3 linked regions of the Astyanax mexicanus genome follow. The protein of the gene in region 3 interacts with the protein of the main gene of each other region in a biochemical or structural test. Links are inferred from orthologs where the notes say so. Each region holds a gene or a part of one and is shown on either strand. Other genes may lie near its edges. The genes, in order: plat, apbb1 and lrp1aa.

The links.
Region 1: the proteins of lrp1aa (region 3) and plat form a complex in vitro, tested with the Homo sapiens proteins (2 studies listed by BioGRID). The link is inferred for Astyanax mexicanus from reciprocal best matches to the Homo sapiens genes LRP1 and PLAT.
Region 2: the proteins of lrp1aa (region 3) and apbb1 form a complex in vitro, tested with the Homo sapiens proteins (2 studies listed by BioGRID and IntAct, with this or other methods). The link is inferred for Astyanax mexicanus from reciprocal best matches to the Homo sapiens genes LRP1 and APBB1.

The regions. Positions count from the first base shown.
Region 1 is NC_064419.1:209,116-219,363, forward strand, and holds the start of plat (tissue-type plasminogen activator), read right to left. Parts: upstream 4,899-10,248; 5' UTR 4,777-4,898; exon of another isoform or gene 4,767-4,776; intron 1-4,766. UniProt on the Homo sapiens protein: Converts the abundant, but inactive, zymogen plasminogen to plasmin by hydrolyzing a single Arg-Val bond in plasminogen.
Region 2 is NC_064427.1:28,561,501-28,572,134, reverse strand, and holds the start of apbb1 (amyloid beta precursor protein binding family B member 1), read left to right. Parts: upstream 1-6,398; 5' UTR 6,399-6,543; intron 6,544-8,729; exon of another isoform or gene 8,730-8,780; 5' UTR 8,781-8,799; coding exon 8,800-9,613; intron 9,614-10,087; coding exon 10,088-10,293; intron 10,294-10,634. Other genes in the region: fibroblast growth factor receptor homolog 1-like, read left to right, coding at 1,936-2,047, 3,015-3,114, 4,119-4,218, 4,359-4,463. UniProt on the Homo sapiens protein: Transcription coregulator that can have both coactivator and corepressor functions. Adapter protein that forms a transcriptionally active complex with the gamma-secretase-derived amyloid precursor protein (APP) intracellular domain.
Region 3 is NC_064431.1:17,166,777-17,176,485, reverse strand, and holds the start of lrp1aa (low-density lipoprotein receptor-related protein 1), read left to right. Parts: upstream 1-5,377; 5' UTR 5,378-5,614; coding exon 5,615-5,708; intron 5,709-9,709. UniProt on the Homo sapiens protein: Endocytic receptor involved in endocytosis and in phagocytosis of apoptotic cells. Required for early embryonic development. Involved in cellular lipid homeostasis.

The sequences.
Region 1 (10,248 bases), on a different chromosome or scaffold from region 3:
CTCACACAACACCACTCAGCATGTCCCTTTAAATAACTCAATCATTTATAAATATATATATATATATATACTGTATATCAAAATAAGAGACTTAAAATGATGAGTTTCTTTGATTTTACCAAATTAAAAACCTCTGGAATATAATCAAGAGGAAGATGGATGATCACAAACCATCAAACCACCAAACTGAACTGCTTGAATTTTTACACCAGGAGTAAAGCAGCATAAAGTTATCCAAAAGCAGTGTGTACTGATTCAGAAACTGAAGTTTTTTAAAGTTGTATATTTATGTAGATTTTACTTTTCCTCTGTCGGGGGGGGGTATTTTAATCTTGTGTTTGAAGAAACTACATTACAGTAAAGGGTTAACTCTGTTTACTTTAAATATAAAGGATGTGAGACACAGACAGCGTGTTCACCCACTGCAGGAAACATATGGTCACTAAGACATGAGAGTGATCTCACACACACACACACACACACACACAACACACACATAACACACACACACACACACACACACACACACACACACAACACACACATAACACACACACACACTGTGACCTTTCTACAGCTGGATCAAACTGAACATCTGTTTCTTCCTGGAGAAATTTTCTTGGAAAATCCCCCCAAAACTAACAGACCATCACCACCAACCCACAGCGCTCTTCTCCTCCGTTATTCTCTCTCTCTTTTTATCTGTCTCTCTCTATTCTCTCTCTCACACATTTAAAGCTGTCTGGGTTTTAGAGTGAGTAGACAGCAGTGGTATTCCTGAGCCACAGAAACGTCTGAGTGAATTAAATGCCTTTTTTAATTCAGTGGAGAAACTCTCCCACTGGTTTCTGAAGTTGGTTTATGGTCATTAAATAGAATACAGAATATATACACCACAAATATACACAACATACATCTGTGCCTCCCAATGCAAAAGTGTGCGTGTGTGTGTGTGTGTGTGTGTGTGGGTGTGTGTGGGTGTGTGTGTGTGTGTGTGTGGGTGTGGGTGTGTGTGTGGGTAGGGTTAGGGGGGTAATCTGCATCCTGTCTCAGGCTGCAGAAGCAGAACAGAGACACATTGTTAGCAGAGAGCAGAAGAGAGAGAGAGAGAGAGAGAGAGAGAGAGAGAGAGAGAGAGAGAGAGAGAGAGGGATCAGAAAAGAAAGAAAGAAAAACTGCACCAAACAGTGATGGAGCAGAAACACGTGTACAGGAGGACAGCTGAGTCATTCTGTACAACAAAGAACACAGACAGACACACATACACACACTACACACTCACACTACACACACACTACACTCACACACACACACACACACACACACATTAAGTATCATCTTACAGTGCTTTGCAGGCCTGCATTCATTTTAGTGATTCTGCTCCTGTGATCATACAGCACTGTATATTTAACTGCTCTGATGTTTTATATGGTTACAGTGATCTTATTACTTTCTTAACAATTATTCACAATATATAACTATAAGACGAGAATTTATAAGAATTATAAGAAATCTCAGAAACCCTTTAAATCACCCTCTGCATTCCAGCCTGAGCTGTGATTTAGTGATATTTCATCAGTACTCTGCTAAAAAAACATTTCAATTTAATTTACACATTTTTCCATCACCCTCTACTTCTAGATGTAGGGAATGAGCCATGATACACAGCTCTGAAAAAATACGTTTCTTTGATTTTACCAAATGTAAAACCTCTGGAATATAATCAAGAGGAAGATGGATGATCACAAACCATCAAACCACCAAACTGAACTGCTTGAATTTTTACACCAGGAGTAAAGCAGCATAAAGATATCCAAAAGCAGTGTGTAAGACTGGTGGAGGAAGAGAACATGATGCCAAGATGCATGAAAAAAAAACTGTGATTAAAAATCAGGGTTATTCCACCAAATATTGATTATTTCTGAACTCTTAAAACTTTATGAATATGAACTTGTTTTCTTTGCATTATTTGAGGTCTGAAAGCTCTGCATCTTTTTTGTTATTTCAGTCATTTCTCATTTTCTGTAAATAAATGCTCTAAATGAGAATATTTTTATTAGGAATTTGGGAGAAATGTTGTCTGTAGTTTATAGAATAAAACAACAACGTTCATTTTACTCAAACATAAACCTATAAATAGCAAAATCAGAGAAACTGATTCAGAAACTGAAGTGCAACCTTCATTTTTGGTGTGTTTATGTGTTTGACATTTTCAGTACCAGAACCAGACTTAAGACTACACACACTCACACTCACACACACACCTACACACTCACATACACACTCACACACACACTCACACACACACTCACATACACACTCACACACAGACAAAGCTTGCGCAGTAGAGCATGCTGTGAACCTGCTGACTAAAGCAAAGCCTGTAAAGACACTCTCATAAAACACCATCACACACACACACACCAACACACACACACAGACACAGGAATGCAGACACACTTATATGCTGAAGCCCAGGCTGGTATTTCATTATTTATGAGTATTATTTATGAGTATCTTTTTCAGAAACACAGACGCTGTGAATATCATACAGAATTGTCTTGTGATATATCCAGTATTATACTACAGTTAGTTCCGATCCTGCAATGTGATTGGCTGAAAGGCGTTCTATGAGTGCTGTTATCAGCCAGTAATGGCACTGTATCGAAGCTCTCCATGTACGTATTACTCCACCACATACAGGTAACCTAGCAACGATGCAGCAGCGCTTACAAGCCAAACAGCACAGCTACAAACAGAGCAGCAATGGAACTAATTTAACTGACGGAGTTTTTATAACCAAACAGATCCTATTTTCTCCTCCTCTTTAACTCTTTAAAATCTTTCAATAAACAGCGATAATGGAACTGTGGTATAATAATCGCTATAATACACTCAAGGTTTTTGCTATAACCTATAACTGCAGCACAGCAGCGCCGATATTACAGGTTATAGCACGAACCTCGAGCGTATTATTTCTTGATTGCAGAATCACAGTATTGTGATATCACTGATATTGTGGGCAGCATATTGTGATAATAACTCAGTAAGTGGTGGGTGAGATGTTGAGATGAGATGTTGAGATGAGAATGGTCTGAGAAGATCCTGTCCGCACAGTTTACACAGTAATGGGTTCTGCATTCCCTCCCAGAGATAAGAACAGATAGAGGGTCTCATCCCTGATAACCAGGAACACCGAGCGGAACTCTCACAGCAATTACCAGCATTCCTCTCTAAACCAGAGACAGCGCGAGAGAGAGAGAGAGAGAGAGAGAGAGCTCAGGCAGAGAGAAAGAGAGGGAGAGAGATTTACACTGAAAGCCGCTCGCTGACTCACCGCTGAGTAACACAGCTGTGTGTGAAAGTGTGTGAGAAAACAAAAGACTGAAAAGAAAGAGAAGAGAAAGAAAAAGAGAGAGAGAGAGAAAGAAAGAAAGAAAGAAAGAGAGAGAGCTAAAACATGCACTCAAACATCCACACAACAGGCTAAACTGCAAATGCTCAATGAAAAGCATTTAAAATGCAGCACTATGCAGTAGGGGTGGGACAATATACATAAATGTCACACTTCTACTCTTTAGTGATAAAACTCCTGCATCTGGACTGCAATTGAAAAACAGGAGGATCAGTGAGTTTTTAGGCTTTTTTCTCGGTCACATCACGGAGTTCAGTAGCTCCTCCATTTCCACTCGCTCTTGTGTTTTTTTAACGTGGATCTCCATGGAAACCGTGGTGCATCCAAACTGTAATTACGGTGCGCGACAGTGGACAAATATCTATTTTATTAAAGGTGAGGAGACGAAACTCAGAGATGTGCGTCCGGACGGGACTAAAATTACCGGAGGAGCACGGAGTTCAGAGAAAAACAGTAGATAATTCAGCCTGTAATTTTCTCAGAGGACGTCTGAGAAAAACACCTACATGATCGTTCTGGACGGGAATAAAATCACAGAGGATAAAACCCCCCCATAAAAGAAAAAATTACCCAGAACACCCTGAGAAACTAATCCTGACCGGATAGAGCTAGAGAGAGAATTTCTTACTAATGATTTCTGAATGCAGAGAAGTGAAATATTAAATTAATGGTCTTATTTAACTTATTTAACTTTTATACATGTAGTTCTAGATCATGTTACTCCATAGTTTCTTAAAAATGCTCTTAAATACACTTTGCGTGCATATTTATGTTTAAATTGTTTTTTGAAGCAAGTTTGGTTAGTTTGGTTTGTATTCTATGAATGTGGGTCCAGCATAGAACCCCTGTTCTAGAGTATGGTTACAGTAGTATAGAGTATAGAGTATGAGTATAGTATGTGTAGAGTATAGAGTATGAGTATAGTATGTGTAGAGTATAGAGTACAGAGTATGAGTATAGTATGTGTAGAGTATAGAGTATGAGTATAGTATGTGTAGAGTATAGAGTATAGAGTATGAGTATAGTATGTGTAGAGTATAGAGTATAGAGTATGAGTATAGTATGTGTAGAGTATAGAGTATAGAGTATGAGTATAGTATGTGTAGAGTATAGAGTATGAGTATAGTATGTGTAGAGTATAGAGTATAGAGTATGAGTATAGTATGTGTAGAGTATAGAGTATAGAGTATGAGTATAGAGTATAGTTACAATAGTGAGGAGTTTGTTGATGTAACTCTGCGGTATCAGGATCAGTCAGACTGAGCCCCTCCCTCAGATAAACCCCCTCACTGACCCACAGCCAATATAACCTGCCAAAACATTAAGAGCATTAAGAAGACTGATCTCAGACCTGCTCTTACCTTCAGCTCCTTCTTTTAGATCTCAGATCTCAGATCAGCGCAGGTGAAGATCCTCCCCTCTAATCCACAGGTGAGCCGCTCTGAGCGCGCGAGACTCTACTGCTGCCCACAGAGGACCCGCGAGCCTTTATCCCCTCCTGGTCGCGCGCGGGAAGGGGCGGGGCTAGGGCTGATGATGTCGGTGATGATGCAGCATCGTAGGCGGGGTTTTTGGCACGCTGTCCCGGGATAGTGTGTGTGTGTGTGTGTGTGTTTATACACGTTTTGCTACTTTTGTGAGGACCAGATGCACGTTTTTGAGTTGAGTGAACCACAATTACATTTAAACAGAGATCTTTAAGTTGAATCAACTTAATATAATTTAAATGAGTTTAAGCTGCTGCAATTAATCGCTTCTTTTTTATTGACTTTTTGTAAAATATATTTGCACACTGGTTGTGACACCTGAAACCTGTAGATCCTGTAGATCCTGTGATTAACTGCTTGGTCTATATGTTTATATAATATATTTGCAAATATTATTTTCTGAGCTGCTAACTTAACTGTTCAAATGTAAGTGTTTATATTAAAACAAGGTTTAATACAAATCCTTTTAATTAGCTTACACTAAAATTTAGAGGAGCATTATTGTGCAAATTATTTAATAAAACAAAAACATCAAGTAAATTCATTTAATTGTTTAATTATGCATAAAAGATGCTGTCTAATGAGCTGAAGTAGTTCATCATAAGTTAATCAGAATATTTGACCTGTAAGTGTATGTAAAGTAGCCAGAGGAGGAGGGGGGGGGGGCGACTACACACTGATGGTGAATGTCAGAAACTGGTGGTGGAATACACACACAATATGCAAATAGATGGTGCCAGCATCCAATAGGAAATAAGTGGTCAATGGCAACAGACTGAAGTCAATTTTCAAGTTATTTAGTTAAATTCAGTGTATCCAGACTCACAGTGTAGTGATCTGTAATAATCTGTTGGTTTGTGATTTTGCATTTCTTATAATTTTAAAGGGTTATTTTAGTTATTTTAGGAATTTTAATTAGAAAAGGAAAAAGAATAAAATGATTTACTTCTGATCAATGAGGTTAAAGTTAAGATTAAGATTAAGACTAAGGTTGAGGTTAGGTGTAGGTATAGTGTGCATTACCTACAATTATTACTATGTAAATGATAGGTCCTCACAAGAATCAAAAAACACTGCATGTGTGTGTGTGGTGTGTGTGTGTGTGTGTGTGTGTTTGAGTGTGTGTTTGAGTGTGCGTGTGTTTGAGTGTGTGTGTGTGTGTGTGTGTGTGTGAGTGGTGTGTGTGTGTGTGTGTGTGTGTGTGTGTGTGTGTGTGTGTTTGAGTGTGTGTGTGTGTGTGTTTGAGTGTGTGAGTGTGGGTGTGTGTGTGTGTGGGAGGGGTCAGTGTCTCCTCAGGCTGGTACTGAATCAGTTCTGAGGTCTGATCAGGATGTTGGGGGTTAGGGTGAGTAATAGTGTATCAGTGATGTAATGTGATTTATAAAGGATTTGTATTTGTGCCAAACTGATTACCGAACCCGGGAAAAGAAGAAGTGAAGCGAAATATGAAATAACTCCTGAAATTCATGTAATTATCACACTGTGAGCCTGAATAATCTGAATTAATTAAATATTCTCTACTTAAATCATTTAAATTAATGTTAGATGTTGGACCACCCAACTGTTCCAGTTAAAGTTATGTTTATATTTCTATATTTTCCAATATCTTTAAAGAATATATATATATATATATATATATATATATATATATATATATATATATATATATATATATATATATATATATATATATATATATTCATGTTTTAAGAAAACAAAATAATAAAGTACAGTGAGGAAAATAAATATTTGAACACCCTGCGACTTCGAGTATTTAAACACCTGTGAAAATCAATATTAATATTTGGTACAGTAGCCTTTGTTTGCGATTACAGAGGTCAAACATTTCCTGTAGTTTTTCACCAGGTTTGCACTTCAACACTTCAACACTGCAGCAGGGATTCTGGCTCTTTCCTCCACACAGATCTTCTCCAGATCAGCAGGTTTCTGGGCTGAACGCTGAGGAACACAGAGTTTGTGCTCCTCTAAAGATTTTCTATAGGGTTTCTATAGATCTGGAGATGGGCTATAGGCCACTGCAGATCCTTGATATGCTTCTAACAGAGCCACTCCCTGGTTATCCTGGCTGTGTGATTTGGGTCATTGTCATGTTGGAAGATCCAGCCACTACCCATCTTCAGTGCTCTAACTGAGGGGAGGAGGTTGTTCCCTAAAATCTCGTAATACATGTCCCCAGCTATCCTCTCCTCAATACAATGCAGTCGTATTAAGGAGATTTGGGTTTTTTGGGGGTAAACATGTCCTAAACAGAACCAGCTGAGAGTCCTACTGTCGACATGCTCACTCAACACTGCAACTCCTCTAAAACCCCGTCAGGAAGAATAAAACTGCTCAGCGTCTCTGAGAGTAATTCTGAGAGTATTTCAGGCTCTGGAACGTCTCTGATGGGTCTGGTCTGGTCTGCTGTGGGTGTGGAGTTAATGAGACCTGTCTCCATCTCCAGAAGCTCACAGCTCCCGTCTCTGTTTCTGATTAAAAACACTTTAATTCAACAACAGAAAAACCGACTGACTGATCTTATATACCACTGTTAACCATCCCATCATTACAAACCAACCGTGCTCTATTTCAGATTTACTATAAAAGAGTTTTATTATCACTCAGTATCTTAAAATAAACTCTGAAGCTACGTGGAGTTTGGAGGTGTGTAGTGATTGGTGTAGTGATTGGTGTAGGGATTGGTGAAAGTTGGTGAACTCTGTGCACTGTGCTCCTCAGTATCCGCTGACCCTGCTCTGTTATTTTACTCTGCAGAGCACAGAGACGCTGTGGTTCTCAGTCTCTTCCACTGTGTTATAATATCACTGACAGTTGGCTGTGGAATATTTAGTAGTGAGTAGTGAAATTTCATGACTGGACTTGTTGCACAGGTGCTCCTGTATCCTATCACAGTCCGACAGTGCTGGAGTTCACTGAGCTCCTGAGAGCCTGAGATCCGCTCTTTCAATCGTTCTGCTGATTTTATTATTAATCACCTGTGAAGGAGGAGGAGGAGATTCAGGATCACCTGAGATCAGTGATTTATACGGGTGAGTGAATCATTTTGGCAGTATAGTGTAAGTATGAGATATTCTTTATATTATTGGCTCAGAGACGAGTGTTAGTGATGAAGGTTAAATTATCACTGATTTATTCCAGATGGTGGAAACACATTTCTGGGTCATTAACTCATAGACTGCGGTTGTGTTATCACTATGAGCACCAGGATTCTCTAAGGTCTGCCCGAGGAATTTCCTCCCTTTACTGGAATGCTTTCAGACTCATGAGGAAGGATTATTTACGCTGTTTCCACATTTTTATTCCCTTTACATATATATCCTAAATCATACATACCCTAAATCATATATACCCTAAATCATATATATCCTAAATCATACATATCCTAAATCATACATACCCTAAATCATACATACCCTAAATCATACATACCCTAAATCATACATACCCTAAATCATACATACCCTAAATCATATATATCCCAAATCATTCATATCCTAAATCATACATATCCTAAATCATACATACCCTAAATCATACATACCCTAAATCATATATATCCTAAATCATACATACCCTAAATCATACATATCCTAAATCATATATATCCCAAATCATACATATCCTAAATCATACATATCCTAAATCATACATACCCTAAATCATACATACCCTAAATCATATATATCCTAAATCATACATACCCTAAATCATACATATCCTAAATCATACATATCCTAAATCATACATATCCTAAATCATACATACCCTAAATCATATATATCCTAAATCATACATACCCTAAATCATACATACCCTAAATCATATATATCCTAAATCATACATATCCTAAATCATACATATCCTAAATCATATATATCCTAAATCATATATATCCTAAATCATACATACCCTAAATCATACATACCCTAAATCATACATATCCTAAATCATACATATCCTAAATCATACATATCCTAAATCATACATACCCTAAATCATATATATCCTAAATCATACATACCCTAAATCATACATACCCTAAATCATATATATCCTAAATCATACATATCCTAAATCATACATATCCTAAATCATATATATCCTAAATCATATATATCCTAAATCATACATACCCTAAATCATACATACCCTAAATCATACACATCCTAAATCATATATATCCTAAATCATATATATCCTAAATCATATATATCCTAAATCGTATTTATATTTTCATATGCAGTAAAATATGCAAAGATCGAACACATATACTGTTTAACAGGTTTGGGCTGCAAAAAACAGACTCACAAATCCAAAGTCACTTCTACAGCCCTGACTGTAAATAAGGATACATATAGAATTGAGAAGTATAGAAATCGTTATGATTTTTGAGATGTTTGAATGAATTCAGCTACTTTATGTTGCATGAATTACTGACACAGATGTGCACAGGTTTTGTCAGTAGAATAGATTTATCTGGAGAAGGTCTCTCTGGAATGGTGGAGCTCCATCCAGCACTTCAGTTTGGTTGGGTCAGTTGGGTATTTGTGGGGGTAAAGTGGGGGTGTTGCACTGTAAAAATGTTCATAAATGTTTACAAAAATGTAAATAGAATAATCATTTTTTTAGGTAAGATTACATTTATTTACAGCGATTATGTCTCAAGTATTTTGAGTTAGGTGAACGTTTGACATCTTTGCGATGGAAATGATCAACTGGACCGAGAATGCTCCATGCTAACAAACAAAACACCTGCAGTGATGCTGAATTTACTCATTTCTCTGACCTTGATGTTTCTCATTAATTACCTGCAGCTTTGTCAGATTGTCAGATTGTCAGATTGTCCGGCCTCAGTGTTGGTGGCTTTAAGAGCAAGTTACCTTTTTCTGTATATTTTGGATTTCCTTAACATTTTAAATAAGCAGTGTGCAGGTCTTTACAGTGTAATAAACAGTATATTATATTAATAAAAGTGATAAAATGTAAATGTGTGTCACTATCAGTTTTCATGAATATGTAATATACCCACAGTAATCACAGTGTATTTAAATGATTGAATATCTGGTGCTGCGTGACTCAGGCGTGTTTATATTCAGGACTACTGCCCTGTATCATCCTGCAGTTCACTCACTAACAGGAAGCTGTGGTGTAAACACACTCCTGTAGTTAGGGGTGTTTTATCCGGACGTCACTTCACCATCAGCGTCACGCTCACCAACAGACAACGACACACTGCCCAACAACACCGTCACCGCGCCGCCTCCCTCCCCGTCACTAACACTAGTGATCAGACCGTCTCTCAGATGTGGAAATGTGGGAAATAAC
Region 2 (10,634 bases), on a different chromosome or scaffold from region 3:
CTGCATAACCCCTCCCAAGGGAGATGCCCCACCCCTGTCATCCTCGTACACAGGAGAACAGAAACATGCCTACAGGCAGCCACACACACAACCCAGAGCCGCCACAATATATAAAAAAAAACATCTTTAGGTTCAGCTTTTCTGTTATTAAACAGTTTAGGATTGCATTACAACATTTCATCTACTGTTTTATACCAGTTTTGTTACAAGTACAATTTTTATGCCTTTTGCTCACCTGTAAACAAGAAAGTGAAGCAGACACACTTTGAGAGAGTGTTGCAGGATATTGGTTCACGATCACATTTGTGCTCAGCGCCCCCTAGAGGTTTCAGAATGAAACGGGTACAATAAAAAGCCAAGGCATGAATATTTGGATCTCCTTTTGCTGTACTTATTCTGCAGCTGATTGTTGCTTTACAATGCTACACTGACCACTTACACACTAATGGAGAATTATTGGTTTCAGCAGTTGGTTTAAACTAAGCTGACAACAGTTGAGAGAAAGGTTGGATATAGACCCACACAACTATAAATTATGAAAACGTTCAAGTGTTTCAGTCTCCCAGACATCTTGGTTGCATTAATAATTCGAAAGGGTCACTGAAAGGCTGAACGTCTTCTGAGAGAAACCACAGCCAGGCCTAAAGTACAAAGTCTGGTTTACATTCTGGCCTCTGTGAAAGTTAGTAGGAGGTTATAAGTGGGGGAACGCTCAGAAGCTATCGATTCTGCATAACAAAACATCTAAAGAAAACATAGGAGTGGGCTTAGATGTATTAACATGTTCCATGATGAGATGAAACCAAGATTTGGCCACAATTTTAAAAAAGTGCTACATTCAGACATAAACCATCCCCGATGTAAAGCATGGTGGTGGTAGTACTATGACATGAAATATGATTATTTTAAAATGATTCTGGAACTAGTATTTTTTAGAATACACTGAAAGCACTAACTTTTGTAGAGTTAAAGAGACTTTTAATAGACATTCATTGTTATGTGCATTGCTGTGAGGATTTGATTGTATTCAGCAACAAAAAATTAGCACCTGGAAATGGAGTAAAGGTGCTACTAAAGGTCTACATTACTACATCTATGACAGCTATAGGTGGTTGTTAATCTGGGAATGGGAAGAAGGTATTGATTCTGCAAAACAAAATATCTGAAGAAGACACAGGAGTCTGCTTGAATGTTACATGATGAGTTACATGATTTTTTTTGCTAAATTCAAAATGATCAGAAAATGTTATACATTTAGAATGATTGTGGAACTATTTTAAGAAAACACTTTGTTAGAGTAACTGACTCTATTGTCCAGTTAAAAGAGGTTCATGTTTATCTACTTCAGAAAGTCTTATTCTATTGGCGTACTAGACAAGCTGTATGTGTGCATTAGCACAGACTGTGACAGCAATGGGTGGTAGGGTATCTATGAAATAGTGACACTTATTACTGTTTAAAAGTTTGGAATCAGTTTTCATACTCTACAGCGAGTCAAAGCCGCTATCGCCAGCTCTTCTTCTAATTGTGGTGGCTTAGGTTATTTTAGTTCGTTTTGTTTAAAAGGTCACTACACTGAGCTAGACAACAAATGTGGCTATATGTTGTGTTTAATACTTCAACAAGTTGTTAATGAATAAACAAGACACTGTAATTATTTGTGCACAAATACAAATAATTTTACATAATGTTAAAAAATGGCTACAAACAACTTTTGAAACATCTGTAGGTAAATATCTTAATATCTTCTGTTGTTTTTGACAGTGGCATAAATGTGGCAATAAATATATACTGATTAGAAAGTATCATAAAATGTTCCATGGGCTGAATGCTTGTGCAAGGAAATGCATGAAGGGCATAGTGTGGTCAAACATACTTCCTGCAGCTTGTTTTGACTGTGTAGCATCCGGTTGTGGCTTCTGTGTCCCCCTGCAGGAACGTGTTCCCTCCCGGTGGTACCCTCCAGAGTACTTCAAGAATGATTTCTATGGATTCAAAGGGGATGTCTGGTCATTTGGGATTGTATTATGGGAGATGCAAACATTTGGTAAGTGTCCTTAAATTAAATTAAGTTAAATTACACTGAATGTGAGAAGAATAAATGCACCCAGAAGGATTTTACCAACAACAATGAAACTGGGTGTGTAGATGTACCAGACTATCATGGAGTGCCATGGACTTAGAATGGCAGCAAATCATCTTCAGTCCTTCACTAGTCCTGCTTAAGTCTTGTTTGAGACCCTACCAACAAATTCATGTGTTTTCAGCATGACAGTGTTCATCCACATACTGGTGCCACCTAAAAATACCATTGGGCTTTCTATGAATACTTATTTTTAATTTTTTATCATTTATTGTTTCAGGTAACCTTTAACTTCTTTCTGAATAGAACTGAAATCAACACTTTCATCTGAGTGCTATTTTTTAACTTAAATGTACATCTCTGGAAAAAATGAAGAGACCACTTCAGTTTCTGAATCAGTTTCTCTGATTTTGCTTTTTATAGGTATATGATTGAGTTTGAACATTGTTGTTTTATTCTATAAACTACGGACCAACTGACTCCTAAATTCCAAAAAAAATAAATGTAATTTAGAGCATCTATTTGCAGAAATTGCTGAAATAGATGCAGAGCTTTCAGACCTCAAATAAAGCAAAGAAAACAAGTTCATATTCATAAAGTTCAGACATCAGTATTTGGTGTAACAACCCTGTTTTTTAATCACAGTTTTCATGCATCTTGGCATGTTCTCCTCCACCAGTCTTACACACTACTTTTGGATAACTTTATACCACTCCTGGTGCAAAAATTCAAGTAGTTTAGCTTGGTTTGAAGGCTTGTGATCATCCATCTTCTTCTTGATTATATTCCAGAGGTTTTCAATTTGGTAAAATCAAATAAACTCACAATTTTTAAATGGTCTCTTATTTTTTCCAGAGCTGTATGTTATTTGTATCGTCTTTGCTATGTCTCTACTAAACTGCTATAAATAACCCTAATTTACATTCCTCAGGCACTTTGCCGTACCCAGACTTGAACACATCGGAGGAAGTAGCACGCTTTGTGTGTGCTGGCCACAGAAACAGTGAGCCTGAACAGTGCAGACCTGAAATGTGAGTGGAAGTGAAGAGGTCTTTTCACACCTCTCAGTTAAAAACATATTATGGTTTCTACTGACATTTAAGATGGGGTTGCTTTTGCACCACAGCAGTGGCATGTGCTAAACTCCTGTTGAGTCTGGATACATGCAGAACGACATACATTATATGTCCTAATGTTTGTGGACACCCTTTCTAATGAACCGATTCAGCTATTTTACTTTTGCACTCATTGCTGACAGATGCATGTACATGTGTAGATGCATAATACCTCATTTCAGGTGTGAATATTTAGCTGTGGAACATAATGTGGAGATCTGTGCTTCATCCAATACTTTCGGAATGAGTTGAGTGTGGTGGTGAACATCCAACTTTCTGACTTCACTAATGCACTTATCAGTGAATGCTATCAAATCCTCACAGCAATATTCCAAAATCTAGTCAAAATCCTACTTCTCTGGATGTTAGATACAATTACTCCAGCAAAGATTTAAGCTATTTGTAAAACTCATGAGTATTCTGGGATTATTTGTTTGTGCATAAGTGAAAACAGACCCTGCTACTAAAATCAGCAAGCTGCGTTTAAGACATACATGCAAATATGCACTTAGGTGTTGGCAATATTGCCCTAAAATAATATCACAATATTTGTGTCGATATGACAAAACATTGAATTAAAATAAAATAATTTCAAGAATACACTGAAGGAACAAAATTAATATTATTGCATATGTCACGATACTAATAATGCACTGCATATATCCAGGACTGAATAAAATAAAAGATATTGTACAGATATAATCTTTCTCTAGTAGATATTTATTGGGAAATGAAAACAGTGTACATTTTCCTTTTGCTACAAACTGTAAAAAAATGTTTTACCCTCATGGCCAATATGGCTCTAAAATAATATCACAATATTTTAGGGTTTTTGTGATGATAATATTGCATATGATTTGATACTTTTGTTCAGTGTGGTTTATGTAATTCTGTAACTTTCTCTGTAATTTGCATCGCAGCCAACAAATGATGATGGACTGCTGGCAAGAGCCTTACTCCTTAAGGCCTTCCTTCATGGACATTGTGGGAGTTCTGGAAAACATTCTTGAAAATGATCGTGTGAGTGTCCATCAGACTTATTCTTTGTGGCTTTTGTCATAATATAGCATAATATTTATTCTTAATGTTATTCCTATGAGTGAATGAACTGCAGTACGTATATTAAAATAAAACATCACATATTTTCTTTGTCTTAACAGGACTATGTGGACATAAATGAGAGTAGCTCGGTGGAGCCTGTAGCTTCAGATACTGTAACAACATCTGAAGTGCATACAGTGTATTGTAATGAAAGTAAATGCTAGCTCAGCACTGTTAATCAGGTTAAAGATGTGGATTTAACGAGTATAGGGGAAAGGCTATGGTGAAGCCACTGGAAGCCACTTTTTTTAAAAAGGGCTTGTGTGTTTGTTTAAATATTGGTATTGTTATTTAAAGACTGGCTGACTCCAGAGGGGGGCAGGGGGGAAACAGTGTCCTAAAGCAGGGCTTTTATGGCTTTTAATGGTATTTATGACTTTTCCATTCTCCTAACACACCTGACTCAACCAATCAGCTCATTAACAAGCCACTTTAGAGTTGCAGTGGGTGTGTTGAAGCAGGCAATTCACTAAAATATGCTGTGCAGGAGGGTGTCAGGACCAGGATTGAAAAACTCTGTCTTAAATGATGCCCTTTCCAGTAGAGACAAAGGTACACCGTGCTGTATAGGGTTCTACTATACTATACAAGTGTAAAAACATGAGTTATAGAGAATTTTTTCATCAGTGAATTAAACATGATCTAAGGATGTAAATACATAAAAAGTACACTGTCAAAGTTAAATATAGTCTGTAATAAAATAAATATATTATTTTACCCTGTGTGATGTCTCATTTTTGTTTTTTACAGTTTAATACTACAATGTGAGTTTGAAACTGCTGTTTGAAGATAAAATATTTACATAATGTTGTGATATAGGAGATTAGGTTGATGTTGGAAGACAGAACAGTTGTTAAGACAATTCTGTGATAGTCACAGATTTGAAATAGATGGCATGCTGGTGTTACAAATGAATACTGATACTTAACCATTACATTTTGTTTAGATTTTCATCATATTATATCATATATAATATATAGTATCATATATCACAATTTATCTTAAGCATAATGAGATATGAGATTTTACCAGCTTAAATGTCCACAAACATTTGGTCATATAAAGCATGTGGAAGAGCAGTGAATAAGATTAGTTAAAGAGAGTAAATAATTTGTGTCAGTATCTTAAACAACTACAACCCTTTCATTTAATCATTCAAATAAAATAATTGCATCACTCCACTTCATGCATTAGCAATCAGTTTAGTTGTAGTACACATGGCTTTGTATAGACTACAGTTCAAAATATAATGCTGCAATAAAAACTGCATTTTCATGAGAAAAGAAACTGATTTTAAACTAAAAGTAGCATATTGCATTACTAAAAAAGAACATTAAAAACAAATTAAAAACGTTTTTTAAATAAAAGAAAATAAAAAGAGCAGCATATTGTGCTTTACTTCTTATGCAAAAAACGACAAATCTGAGGTATAAATACTGCATTACTGAAAAAAGAGACTCTAAAGACGTTTTTAAAAACTTAGAAAATAAAAGGAGATAGTGATGCATATTGTGCTTTAATTCTTATGTAAAACAAACCGATTTAAATCTACAAACCGATTAAAAAACTACAATCATGAGGTACAAATAGTGCATTACTGAAAGAAGAGGCTCTATACGTATTTCAACCTTAGAAAATAAAAGGAGATAGAAGTAAAGCACAATATGCTGCACTAACACAAAACAAACTAATTTAAAAATACAAACGTATTTAAGCGCATAACCACGAGGTAAAAATAGTGCATTACTAAAAAAAACCTTTAAAGACTTATTGAACACATTAGAAAATAAAAGAGATTACTTCTAATGCAAAACAAACTGATTTAAAACTAAAGTTACAAACCGATTTAAAACTACAATCTTAAGATAAAAATAGTGCATCACTAAAAAAAGAGGACCTAAAAGCAAATTAAAGCCGTTAAATGAGATACTTCTAATACAAAATAACTGATTTAAAACTACAAACCGATTCAAAACTACAATCCTGAGGTAGAAATACCGCATTATTAAAAAAAAAACAGGCCCCTGGTAGTTGACGCCGCTTTGACGTGGGCTGTGTGACGCAGGCGGAGGCTAGCGGAGCAGCTAGCGCGGTTAGCCCCGCTGGTGCAGCAGCGCTGTGAGTAAGAGCGGAGAGCTGTGAGCTGTGAGCGGTGGGCGGCGGAGGAGGTGGAGGACATTTTTCCGCTTCGCTTTGCTGGATTACACGAGCCGCTGGATATTAATGAGTCGCTCTGGATAGAAGGTGAGTTATGGTGGTCGCAGTGTTTGGTTTATGAGTGTAAAAGGCGGTAGTAGAGGCTGGGTTAGTGCGGTTGTTCGGTAGTTAGCGGGTCGGGGTGTGTTTATGTTGTGGGAGTGAGAGGAGGGGGGGATCATGGAGGGCGATGCTAGTAGCGAAGGCTATGAAGAGATTTGAGCCGATATTACTGACTGTAGTTACTGAGTGACGGTGTAAAAGTCGTGTTTTAATTATTCTGATATCATGTGATATTTCTGGGCTTGTATTCTGGTGGTCTGAAGGCTGTCGTTAAGCTAACGTTTAGCTAGCATCCAGCGCGAGCAGCTAAGCTAACTTAGCTAGGTTAAGCTAGCTCTAACCAGCTGTAGCTAGGTTAGTTAAGCTAAATGCGCAGCTAACGTTACGGCCCAGCTTAGCCGAGTCGCTACACACAGCTGGGACTGCGGAGCTTTATAGCTGCTGGCTGTGTAAAGGCTGCTGTGCGGGCGTTGTAACTAAAATTGTTATATTTCTAGTGATATTTTGATTATATTAATAGATAATGCCGTTTCTGCTTGTGTAGATATAGGTTAGCATATCTAGATAAAAATAAGGTAGGTCCAGTCACACTGGCTACATGGGCATGTAACGTTACTCATCCACACATTTGGATGGATACGCACCTAACCTAGCTTACGGGTACATAACTAAGTGAAGTTACATGTGTCCATATACATATAGGTAGATTTTTACAGTTTATTTAAAACAAACACAGAATATGAATAAAATACTGACACATAAAACATACAACAATATTATTTTACCTCAGTCAATCAGTGACATTACATAGTAATACTAGAGACCCTGGCCTGTGGGAAAACTTAAATTCCATTGCTACCCGGAGCGGCGTCTGAGTTTCAAAAAAATAAATTGTAATAACTGGCCTGGTTTTGGCTAAAACAGCTCGCAACAGGTGAAACCTATTAGCTAACCAGATAGAGGTGTGAATTACCGAAGGGATGAAGGTTATGACCAGTTAGAGAAACCTGAACAATTTATCTGTCTATCATTAAGTACGATACAATAGGTTAATTATCAGTGTTCAGTGTTAAGTGTTCTATCAGAATAAGATGAACCTTTTTTTCCGCTCATTCATCTGATATTGAATTGTATAAAAAAAAAACAGTCTGTTTTTGTAGATGAGTTAGCCTACCATCTCAAATATTTACTATACTAGCTCAACACTGTCTGCTAAGGGTGCAATTAATTATTATTTTGGTAGTTGACTAGGATACAATGATTTAAAATAAAAACATTTATTTTACCCATACCCTGTCCCTCTGCTTCCTGTAAGTATGGCTCATGTTCCTAGTTTTCTCTATCGCTTAAAAACAATAGAAACAGCAGGATGTGGGATTTAAATGCCCGTTAGATGCTCAGAAGCCATTTTTGGGCACTTTTGGGGACCCAAACCAAGTTGAGTGTAAACTGTGTAAGTGGACCCATTACCCTTGCCCATTGTATTTATGTCCACAGCATTTTGTGTAGTGCATTGCAGTTAGTCAGCACATTTTTATAATCAACATTTTAGATTTAGCTGATTAATCATTGCAGTCCTAGTGTCTACCCTTCTCACAGTGTGTAGTGTGACAGTGTAATTTAATTTATGAGTGCAGTATACCTGTTGTAACCTGTTGTAAGGGGGATTCCCTTGTGTACTGTACCTAAATGAGAACAGTACTCACCACCCCAGTTGGGTAGTAAGTTAGTTATTAATATTACATTTACTAACTTAATAAAAACCTTAACAAAGTATTACGTTAAATTATCAGTTTTTATTTGTAAACTCTATTAAACTGTGTTTGGTGTCATCCCTCCAGAAACCATTTCCACACAAATTAACCATGACCCAGTAGAATACATAAAAACTTAATGGTACACACTAATACTTCTCTGGGTACCAGGTCAAGACAAGAGGCTCTATTTGTAATGTTAACTGTGTACAAGTACACAGTGGAGCAAACCAACAGTCCCCCAGGACCATGGCGGAACAAATAGCAACACAACAGCTATACAGAACAATGCACAAACAAAGAGCAAAGAAACAATACAATAAATGCAGTAAATAGAACAGACCATGCAATTAGCTGCCATAATTTTGCTTGACTATTGGCTTAGGATGTTGTTCTAAATAAATTCTAATGAAAGTTGTTTTCTAATTTTTTTCTGTGGTTATTCACTCTTCTGGCAATCTTTTCCAGAGGCATCCAGCTCTGTGCCATGTCTTTAGAGAGCTCTTCAGACCTGGCCAACGAGAACACCTGTTTGCCCCCGTCACTGACCCTTGACCTGCGCTGCCCCCACAGCACTCTTTTAGACACAGAGTTAGGCAAAGCTAAAAGCTCCTGTACCTCCTCTCCCAAGAGCCGCCGTATCTACGCCAGCACCACCCAGTCCCAGCTTCTCAACGGCATCATGGGCGGACTGGATGATGAAGCTTCCCTCCAGCACCGTGAGGAGGAGTGGGCCAGGAATCAGGAAAACGAGCAGGGTCACCCTGTTCCAGGGAGCAATGCCAAGTGGATGAAGGAAGGCCAGAACCAGCTGCGCAAAGTAGCAGAGAAGCAGCAGGACCTAAACAGAAACCCGGACCAGAACCTTAACCTGGTCGAGAACGAAAATGAAAACGAAAGCCCCGACATGAACCCCAACCGAAACTCCACGCTTGGGGTGCAGGGGAGTGATGTGGAGAATAACAAGACCCTGGAGGTCCTATGCTCTGACGTAGATGTTAGGAACACCGCCAACGAACCCATTCTGATTGATACCTCTGAGGCCCCCATAGGCAAGGAACGAGAGAATGAGAATGAGGAGGAAGAGAAAGAAGAAGAGGAGAACTTCCCTCCTGGCAGTGGAGAGAAGGACACAGACTCCTCTGAGACACAGAGCTGCAGTGAGTCGAGGAAAGACAGTGAAGGCGGAGGGAGGAACACATGCTTACTGTTCAGCAAGAATGGAGCTAGTGATGAGGACTCCAGCTGTATGTCTCTGTCTCAGGGGAGCACTGCCAACAGCACCCCTGATGGAGATCCAGGTAGCTTGTCTCAACCTGCTTCATGCTTGTCTTTACAGTTGATCTATGGAAAGACTTATGCTTATAGTAAAGTGTGCATATTTATTGAAGATTGGTCATTACCTTGTGAACATTTTCACGATTTCTGTGAAGCAATAGAAGTAGTTCAGAATGGTGTTAGCCTAAATAAACCTTGTAATGCGAATGAAAGTTTAGCACACTTTCTTCACAAATGGAAAGCTGTTCCTATACTGTACTATAATAACATTTTATAATACTGTATTTTGTGTAATAAAAGCTTGTTTTGGCCATTTAACTTTTAGTCAAAATACTTTAAAGCATGACCTGTTTTTTGTTTTGAAAGTGGCAGTTTGCTGAAATGTGGATTGGCAAAGTTGTATATGAACATCAGTGCCTACTACAGCAGTTCTAATTACTCTGTGTTTTTGTTTTTTTCCAATGCCACCCCCACTACCATCTGGTGTGGCTACTTAGAGTCTTATTGGGACCGCAGCGCGTTCGAGACCGACACAGACCTGCCAGCCGGTTGGATGCGTGTGCGGGACACCTCTGGGACCTACTACTGGCACATTCCTACAGGCACCACACAGTGGGAGCCACCTTCTCCCCTAGAGGAAGGTGCAGCCCCAGAGAGACCATCCAGCACCTCACCTGCCATTACCCCCTCTGAGGAGCCACAGGTACAAAGAAAATGTTGATCGTACTTTTACCATGTTAAGACATAATAGATGGTTTTCTTACTTCTTGATTTAAGGGAATGCATTTGTTTAAAAAAAAAAAAATTAAACGTCGTAAAGTCTCACTTTCCTAGCTGAATTTAATGTACAGAGTGAGGCAAAACAGGTGCAGGACATCCTTTCATTGTAAGGGAAATTAATAAAACAAAAAGGAATATGACATCTAAATACCCCAGCAAGTAATGGGTGAGGGGGGCCTATCTTTTTGGCTGCGTTTGGAACATGGCCTTCATATTGAAAACTGCATATTTGGTTTCTGACAAAAGTGTGTCCTGCAACTTTTT
Region 3 (9,709 bases):
AGTGAAGTGAGAGTACTCGCACCTGCTCAGCCATTAGTTCAGTGATGCGAAACAAAGTCTGAACTGAAGATGCTCCCACAGGCCTGATGACTGACAGCTCACTGTCCTTTAGCTGTGGCTCCATCCTGGCACTCCCTCCAGCTGGAAGACCCTTCTTGAGTGGCAGCTGCCACGGCAGGTCTTCAGTAAAGGCAGCAGCAGTAAAAGACCGGGTTTGACACCCTGACGTAGAACCACCACAAGAACAATGTGATTGAAAATAGTTGGTTCTACGTATTGTTTTTGGGATTGGTGGGAATTGAAGGAAATATTTGAGACAATCTGACCAAATGTTGAAGCTCAGGACCAGACCAGATAGGTAAACTGGTCAATATCTCGGCAAGAATTCTATAAGGGCGTTTTCACACCAGCACTATTTGGTTTGGTTAAAACGGACTCTAGTTTGTTTATACCCTTAGTGCGGTTCGATTGAGCAGGTGTGAAAACAGTAATCGCACTCTGATGTGGATCAAGACAACCGTTGACCAGTTAGTGGAGGTGGTCTCGGTCCGGTCCTAAACGAACTCTGGAGCGGTTCACTTGTGGTGAGAACGTGATCAGGTCTCGATCTGACCCAGCTATCAAACTTACTTCTTTTATTTTAGCTAAACGGCTGATAAGACACAGTTTAATCTGACCTATTAGCCAGATAACTCTAATTACCACAGCTATGAACAAACGCTGTCTCTGTTCAGTGTTGTTTCCGTGCACGGTCTGTGCTGCATTCACTACTCGCAGCCATATGACTCAGTTTACTACGTGTACATGTGCTAAAACTTTCAGAGTTCTGTGTTAAAGCAGCTTCACGCTGCACACATATACTTGCGCTGGTACACAGAATCTTGTTGCTTCATCTACATTCTTGCTCATGCGCCAGACAGCTCTGACCAATTAGAGGAGACAGCGTGCTTGAGCGGTTTTTTGGTGCACATTTTGGTGAGTTTAGATTTATGCCTGTGTGAAACCAAACCAAACAGAGGGAGAAAACTCTCCAAATAAACAAACTCATCAACTGATCTGCACCATACAAACCAACTACAGGTGTGAAAACGCCCTAAGTTACTGGACACTGGTAGAACAGGGAACCCTGTTGTGTCAGAACTCACCAGGTTAATCCGGGAGAACAGCGAAAGCCACAGCAGAACTGAGGGATAACTGCTGAAGCTGCAGACGTCCTAATAAGCTTAGGAAAGTTGAGGAATGTCAGGCAGTCCGACACGCGAAAGGGGGCCCAAGCTTGTGCGGGTGAGGAAGGGGAAGGGGGTGGAGGTCGATTAGGCCATTGTAAAGCAAGGTTGGACCAGTGCTCTCTACCCAAACACCAGCTATACTTGTGGTCAGGCTGAACAGAAACATGGTAATAAGTGTCCAGTAGATCTACAGGTGTCACAGTGGGACTGAGAATTCAATTCAGCATTGGACTTACATCTAGACCAGCCCACTCAGTGGTGCAAAAAGGGGGTACGCAGCGCTAGAAGGGGTGCCAAATCAATGCCGGAAAATGAATTCTAGTCGGCATTTTCTGTAAGAGCTGTTTGTTCATGTATGATAATGCACAGGGGCGTCGCCTGCCCTGGGCTTCCGGGGCTTTAGCCCCGAGTAAATTTCCACTAGCCCCGAATCGTTTCACTCAGCTCAGCTGTAATATTAGTGAGGAGTGAGGAGTGCAGAGCGTGGTGGGCTAGTATAATCAAAACACAGATCAAGGTTTGAGAAAATGAAACTATATATATGTTTAACTTGCCCTGATGTACCTGACCAATAACTATTTCATTTTAAAATTGTTTTTGTTAATTTAGGATTGCAGGATTACTCAAAGCTATAATTAAAGAAAATAAATTTAGCTAACCAGTTAGCTAGAAGCTGGATGTTGTGGATAGCCAGGATTTAGTACTATACTTAGTTTAAATGAGTTTCTTAACCCTGGTCTCCGCCCTAAAATTGTATGTTTTCCACCAGATCCAACTCATCAGCTAATAAACTAATATAATTAACTGGGCTGAGCCACGGATTTTTACATACCCAGGCAACGCCCCTGATAATACACATCAAAAAAGAGGGGGGCGCTCATAGTATGTTTGCATACACCTCAAAAAGTATGTAGTTGCACTACCATATGTTTGGTCATTTTAAAAAAGTAGGGAACATGTGTCATTTGAGACTAAGCATGCTAGCTAACAGAGCTAATGATCTCTGAACGCTGGGTTAGCTTTATTTTTCTACATTTTTCATATTCTACTGTATATTGCTGACAGCTGAACAAATCATGCATTTTTAGGCCATTTTATGTGGTTTTCAGTGGTATTTACTTTTTATTGTGTCCTTTGAGCTTTTTATATGCTTTCTTCATTGTGCATTATTACTAAACTCATTTCTTCTCTTTTATTTTTTAAGGCTGTTTTACATTACGTTTTATGCTAGAGGAAGCAACAGGGTGTTGTTGGGGATTTGTCATGCACAATTCAATATTAGAAAATGTAAATCAGGTTCTATTTTTAACTCTTTTGGAGGCCCACACACAGAGCCACCCCCCCACCAGGAATTGTCCCGGCCCTCCCTACAGCCAGTCATTACATTACATTTGGCAGACGCTTTTGTCCAAAGCGACTTACAATATTGAAGTGCAAATAATAGAAGAGGTTAAGTACAAAAATAATAGAAGTTAAAAATAAAGCATCTATAGATAGGGCCTTAAGGAGGTCAGAGGGAAATAATGGGATAGAGGAGTAGAGAAGAGGAAGAAGGAGATGAGGTTAGAATTAGTTAGTTTGTTAGAGGTGTTAGGAGAGTAAGTGCTCTTTGAAGAGCTCTGTCTTCAGGAGTTTATTAAAGATAGTGAGAGATTCTCCTGATCTGGTAGTGGAAGGTAGTTTGTTCCACCATTGGGGAACTCTGTATGAGAACAGTCTGGATTGCTTTGTGTGAATGTTTGGTAAAGCGAGGCGACGTTCATTGGAGGAGCGCAGCGGCCGGGAGGTAGCGTAAGCCTTCAGGAGTGAGTGCAGGTAGGAAGGAGCCTGTACTGTCATCACCTTGTAGGCGATTGTAAGCGCTTTGAATTTGATGCGAGCATCAACTGGTAGCCAGTGGAGCTCAATGAGCAGCGGAGTGACATGTGCCCGTTTTGGTTGGTTGAAGACCAAACGTGCTGCTGCATTCTGAATCATCTGTAGTGGTTTTACTAAACAGGCCGGGAGGCCAGTTAGTACGGCATTGCAGTAGTCGAGGCGTGAGATTACCACAGCTTGTACCAGGAGTTGGGTGGCCTGTTGCGTCAGAAACGGTCGAATTTTTCCGATGTTGTAAAGCGCAAAGCGGCAGGATCGAGCAACTGAGGCCACATGGTGCGTGAAGAGAAGCTGGTCATCAACCATGACACCCAGGTTCCTAGCAACCTTTGTCGGTGAGAGAGAGAGAGAGTCGATGGTTATGGCAAAGTTGTGTTGAATAGAAGGTTTTGCTGGTATGACCAGAAGTTCAGTCTTTGAGAGGTTTAGTTGGAGGTGATGTTCCTTCATCCATGCGGATATGTCTGAGAGACACTGTGATATTCGTGCAGAGATTGAGTGATCATCTGGTGAGAAAGACAGGTATAGCTGAGTGTTGTCAGCAAAGCAGTGGTAGGAAAAACCATGTGAGCGGATAACCCGACCTAGAGAGGTGGTGTATATTGAGAAGAGAAGAGGTCCCAGTCCCGAACCCTGGGGAACCCCACTGGGTAACGAGTGGGCTGGGTACTTGCCATGACACCCTGAACGAGCGCCCAGTGAGGTACGATCTGAACCATGACAGCGCATTGTCTGAGATCCCCATGTTCGAGTTACAGTCCATCCCAAGACACGGATGAACTGTTTGACGTGCAGTCCAACAAACTGTGAGCATGTCCAACATGCAGATCCAGCTGCTATAGCGTACTTTAGGATTTCTGCATAAGAAAGGAGATGTGGCAGAGCTACAAACATCCACAGTTACAGGAAAATACACATAGTAAAGAGGACATATTATACATATTATACACATACTTTGTACAAGTTGAAAGTTGGGTCTATGGGCACAAAATCACTCTCACATAAAGATATTTCACTAGCTTTATTATTGCCAGTTTTAGCCCCTTTCAGAATGAGCAGCTCTGTCACTTTTAGGCTATGCCTTGTATATGCTGAGAGTTTATCAAACGTTAGCTTATGCTAAATTGCAAAACTCAAACAAGCCAAATCATGCTTAACTGTGATAGAAACACAAAAACCCATCATTTGACAGCACTTACTTTTTCCTTGTCTGCTGACCTGCCACAGAGAAGTAGGTATAGAGTCCTCACTCAGAAAAAGACGGATGGTTAAATCCTGTGTGTACTGTTTGAGGTTCTTAATTTCAACCAAAATGTAAAAAATGTCAGATCTTTAACTGATCTAGTGGGTGGGGCTCTGGTGGAAGTTGATGTTGAGAGCTAGTGCGAGGGTGGTTCTATGCTAAGTTTCCTCTTTGTGACATCAGAATAAGGGAGCCAACCAAATGGCCCATAGAAACTCCTAAGACCAAACTCTTTCAGCTAATTCACAGATGGATGGATCTTTTTCACGCTTGGAGTGTTTATAGGGGCAGTCGTGACCCAAGTGACCCAAAGCTGCAGTTCTGACAACGTTCAAAGAGTATAAATTTAATAATTTCTCTCCAACCAAGTAGTCAAAGTTCTCGAGTCTCGAAAACATCACAAAACACACACACACACTTATGATATATAGTTGTGCAGTAAGGGAAGTGTGCTGGTGCTTATTTAACTTCCACAGCCAGAACCCAGAATACAATTGTGATCTTTTGGTGTTTATAAAAGTCAGAGGGACCTGACCTGACCTGCATCCAGAAACCCCACATTATACTGCTTTTTCCTACTGATCCTCCTCCTCTTCCTCTCCTCCACCTGGTAGGAAATGAGCAGTAGGAAAGGAGGAGAAGGAGAGTAGCAGTAGGAAAAGTGGAGGAGGCCAGGAACAGTAGGAAATGTCAAAAAAGGGGAGGAGAGGAGCAGTAGAAAATGTGGAGGAGTAGAGAAGCAGTAGGAAACATGGAGGAGGAAGGGAGTAGCAGAAGTTTCTGGACAGTCTAACTTAGATCTCCTGCTCTCCTCCAAACTCTCCCTCCTTTTCTCACAGAACCGGATCAGCTGTGTTTAAAACATCTGCAGGCTGAGATCAGCAGCGCCCCCAGCGACCTGGAGGAGGAATGACTGCTCCCGGTTTCTGTTCTCACCGCGCTCTGCTCTGATTGGCTGAATCCTGAGCTCCGAGAAAGAGAGCGAGAAGGAGAGAGAGGGAGAAAGAGAGAGAGAGAGAAAAAGAAAGAGAGAGAGTCAGTGTGGGTGAGGGCACGGTCTGAGCCGCTCGCGCTTCTGCTCCCCGGATTCTGAAGCATGAAGAAACCTTGAGACGCGGCGGCGCGCGAGGAGGAGGAGGAGCAGGAGGAAGACTGGGACAGTGGACAGCTAAGCCCAGACTGCTGCGTTCTTCTGGAGGGTTCGGTTCTGCAGGCTCGCAGCTCCTTCAGGCTATTTGAACTGTAGTTTTACTGCACGAGCCGGATGATGTTGCGCGTGCCCGCGGGCGCGGCGGTGGGATTGATCTTGCTGGGGTTCCTGCGCGCTCTGGAGGTGCAGCCCCCGCGCGCTGCGGACGGTGAGTACATCGGGTCTCAACTTCTCGCGCGCTCTGCTTTCTCGGCACGCGCGGGGAGACTCGCCGTGCAGCAGCTGTTGCTCTCTGTGCGCAGTGAGCTCGCGCTTCTCTCCCGGTTCTGCAGCGAGAGGCTTATAGTCTAGTTCATCTCGGTTTGGTTCAGACTCCACTGCGGAGAACTTTAATCAGACTGTAGTTAAACAACGCATACCACACACACACACACACACACACATCTGTTGCTGTTGTGATGTCACAAAGTAACCCACTCTAGTGTTATTCTCGAGAGGGGCTGTCAGTGTATAGTTCCACTTTTGTTGTCCTAAAGCACATCAACATTAACAAAAAAAACAATATAACAATATATTTTATATATAAACAATATAAAATCCACACGAGCAGCTTTGAGATGGTCATGCTGCTGCTGCTTCTCCATCTGCAGCCGGAGTCTGAGAGAGGACCGTAGGACATGCTATTTCTAGGTGGCTACAGTAGGTGGCGCTCTCTCAATTCATCACTCCCATTGTGATGCTGGCCAGCACAGGCTTCCACTGGCTGATGTATCAGAGCTGGGCATCCGGCGCTTTCCTCTAAGAGCATTGTGATGCTTCGTATAGTAATTGGAGACACTTGGAATAGAGGCGGGGTCTGACTTCACAAGTATCTCACTCGTCCTCACCCTCCTGGTGATGGCAATCCTGGGGAAATGGCAATCCTGATATATAGTATAAAACAGAGTAAAATTAGAAATAAAAAACAATAGTGAAAATGAAATGATTACTAAATCAGTTAATAATTAATTTAATGCTTAAACTAAGAGTCTTGCCCTTTATCTCTCTTTCTCTCTCTCTCTCTTTTAGCTTGTTGTGGAAGGTGTGTTTAAGTGTGTTTTCATACTGTGAAGTAATGTCTGTCTCATTTCTTGAGCAAAACTATGCTATCTCATCCTGGGACGCCAAACAGTAAACAGACAAACAGGTAAACAGAACATCTGCCTGGTTAAAATGGTTTGGGTCTCATTTGCTGATCCATTCTGACCTTCAAGTTGCTGTGGTCATCCAGTAGTCATCATAAATATTCAGAAAATCTAAAGAAAATCTGAAAGGAGTTCCAACTCTAGAACACTTAAAGGAGAGTGCCTTCCTGTTCTTCACTGTAACAAACTGTGCCTCCCTGTGTCTTTTGTCTCACTGTGCTCCGGTGTGTCACACTGTCTCACTGTATTGTGCCTCACTGTGTGTCCTTTGTCTCACTGTGCCCCACTATGCCTCACTGTTCCCCGCTGTACACCATTAAGCTTGCTGTGCTTCACTGTGTTTTTACCATTCCCTGTTGTGCCTCACTTTTCCCAGCTGTGGCTTGTTTTCACTGTACCCCACTGTGTCTCATTGTGTTTTCACTGTGCCCAGCTGTGCCTCACTGTGTCTAACTGTGCCTCACTGTGTTTTGCTGTTCCCAGCTGTGCCTCACTGTGTTTTTACTGTGCCCATCTGTGCCTCACTTTGTCTTTCTGTGTTTTCACTATGCCCAGCTGTGTGCCTTACTGTGACTCAATATGCCCCGCTGTGCCTCACTGTGTTTTCAATGTGCCCAGCCTCGTTATGTGTTCTTTCCTTAATTACGTGTCCTTTGCCTCACTGCACCAACTGTGCCACATTGTGTGTCCTTTTTGTCACTGCACCCGACTGTGTCTAACTGTGTTTTCACTGTGCCCAGCTGTGCCTCACTGTGTTTTTACTGTGCCCTGCTGTGCCTCACTGTATTTACTGTGCCTCATTGTGTTTTCACAGTTCCCCACTGTACCTCACTGTGCCTACCTGTGTTTTTACTGTGGCCAGCTGTACCTCAGTGTGCCCTGCTGTGCCTCTTTGTGTTTTTACTGTGCCCCTCTGTGCCTCGCTGCATTATTTCTCACTGTGCCTGAATGTGCCTCCCTATGCCTTAGTCTGCCTCACTGTGCCCTGCCAGATCCTCAAACCACTGGAAACCATTAACCCGTGTGCCCCCTCCAGCTCTGGCTGTGGAGACGTTTGTGTGTGTGTGTGTGAGAGAGAGAGAGAGAGAGAGAGAGAGAGATTGGTGTAAAGGTAAATTCTGAGAGTTGTATAAACTCAGACTGTGTGGGAGGAGCTCAGACAACTATAACAGAATGGGATTGTGGGATACAGACTGTCTAAACGCAGTGGTTAGAGAGAAACCTCCTCACTCAGCTTGGTTCAGTCAGTACCAGAAAGCGAACTCTGTGAGATTTACAGAGGATCAGAGTCAGATTCTTAGTGCTTTAAGTTAGAACAGTCAGAATCCAACTGACCTCCACATAACCTCTAACCTTAGACCTATGTCTGATCTCTCTCTCTCTCTCTCTCTCTCTCTCTCTCTCTCTCTCTTTCACTCTGGTATAATGTGAACATTCAGTATAGCTTGCTTGGCTGCAGCAGCCCCTGGTGATGCTTTTTTACATGGCTGGCATAGCTGGTTCTCCAATGGTTCTCCCAGAACAGAGCAGCATCAGAACAGTTTAATCCTTATTTAATCTGAAGTGAGAACCACTCCCACCAGGCTGTTGGGCTTATTGGTTGTTGGGTTGCCAGGATGTCATATAAAGCCCTAAATTGGCTCGCTCCTGAGTATTTGTAAGACCTCATCTCCTCCACAGTTTATACCACCTGCCTCAGACTAGTTGCTTACCCTTCACTACGAATTATATTGAAGTTTACATGAATTTTAACTAGCAATTATGAAAGATGGGCTTTTGGGTTGTTGGGTGTCTGGTAGGGCTGCAACTAATGATTATTCTAATGATTATTTTGGTAGTCGACTAATCTGATTATTATTTTTTCGATTTGTTGATTAGTCAACACATATTTCTGCCATGTTCTTCATCTCTAAAAACAATAGAAACAGTTGAATATGGGAATTAAAAGACATTTAAATGCTGGATGTTGTTTAAACGCAGAAAGTACTGATATTTTGGGATTAAATATGTAATCTGTTGTGTTTGGGCAATTTTGGAGACACTAAAAAAAAGTTGATTGTAATCTGTGTGAGTGAGCCATTCACCCATCTTCCATTGAGATTCTGTCCCAGGACTTTGTGTAATAAGATACTTGTAATGTAGTACTGTTACAAATTAACAATGACATTGTCGATTATATCAACAAATCATTGCAGCCCTAGCATCCGGGCTGTTGGGCTGCTGAGCCGTTAAGCAGTTGGGCTGCCAGGCAGTTGGGCTGTTGGACTGTTTGCCATTGGGCTGTTGGGCTGCTGGGCTGTTGAGCAGTTGGGCTGCCAGGCTGTTGGGCTATTGGGCTGCTGGACTGTTTGGCCGATGGGCTGCTGGGCTGTTTGGCCGTTGGGCTGCTGGGCTGTTTGGCCATTGGGCTGCTGGACTGTTGTGCCATTGGGCTGTTGAGCAGTTGGGCTGCTGGACTGTTGGGCCAGTGGGCTGTTGAGCAGTTGGGCTGCTGGATGTTGGGCTGTTGGGCCATTAGACCATTGGGCTGCTGGGTTGTAGAACATTTGGGCTACCAGCCTGCTGGTGTGTTGGGCTGCTTATTGGTTTCTGCAGTCTGGTTATGTTGCACAAATATAATTGTTTCAAGATATTTTGTACTGTTAAGATAATACCAGTATAATAATTGACACACTTTATCACTTCTCAACTAAAGCTTATTTTTCTCTTATTTTGTTATTTTGTTTAGGGTGCTTTAGACGGGTCTGAGTCTCTGCTGACTGTCCAGTGTTGGATTTGGTCCGTCTGTTTCTGAGTTTGTATGAATCTGTAAACTCTGTGCTCAGAATATCCGCTGTGGAATCTCCCACAGTGTTTACTGGAATGTTCCGGTTTGGAGAATGACTTAGTTCTCCTGACTCCAGCTTTGGTTACCCTCACGTTTTCACAGCCTACGCCTGCCTAGCGCCCACATGCAGCCAACTGTGTGGAACCCTCATGAAGGATTACATGCAGGTCTAGACACGGTATTCCTCCTCCTCTCTTC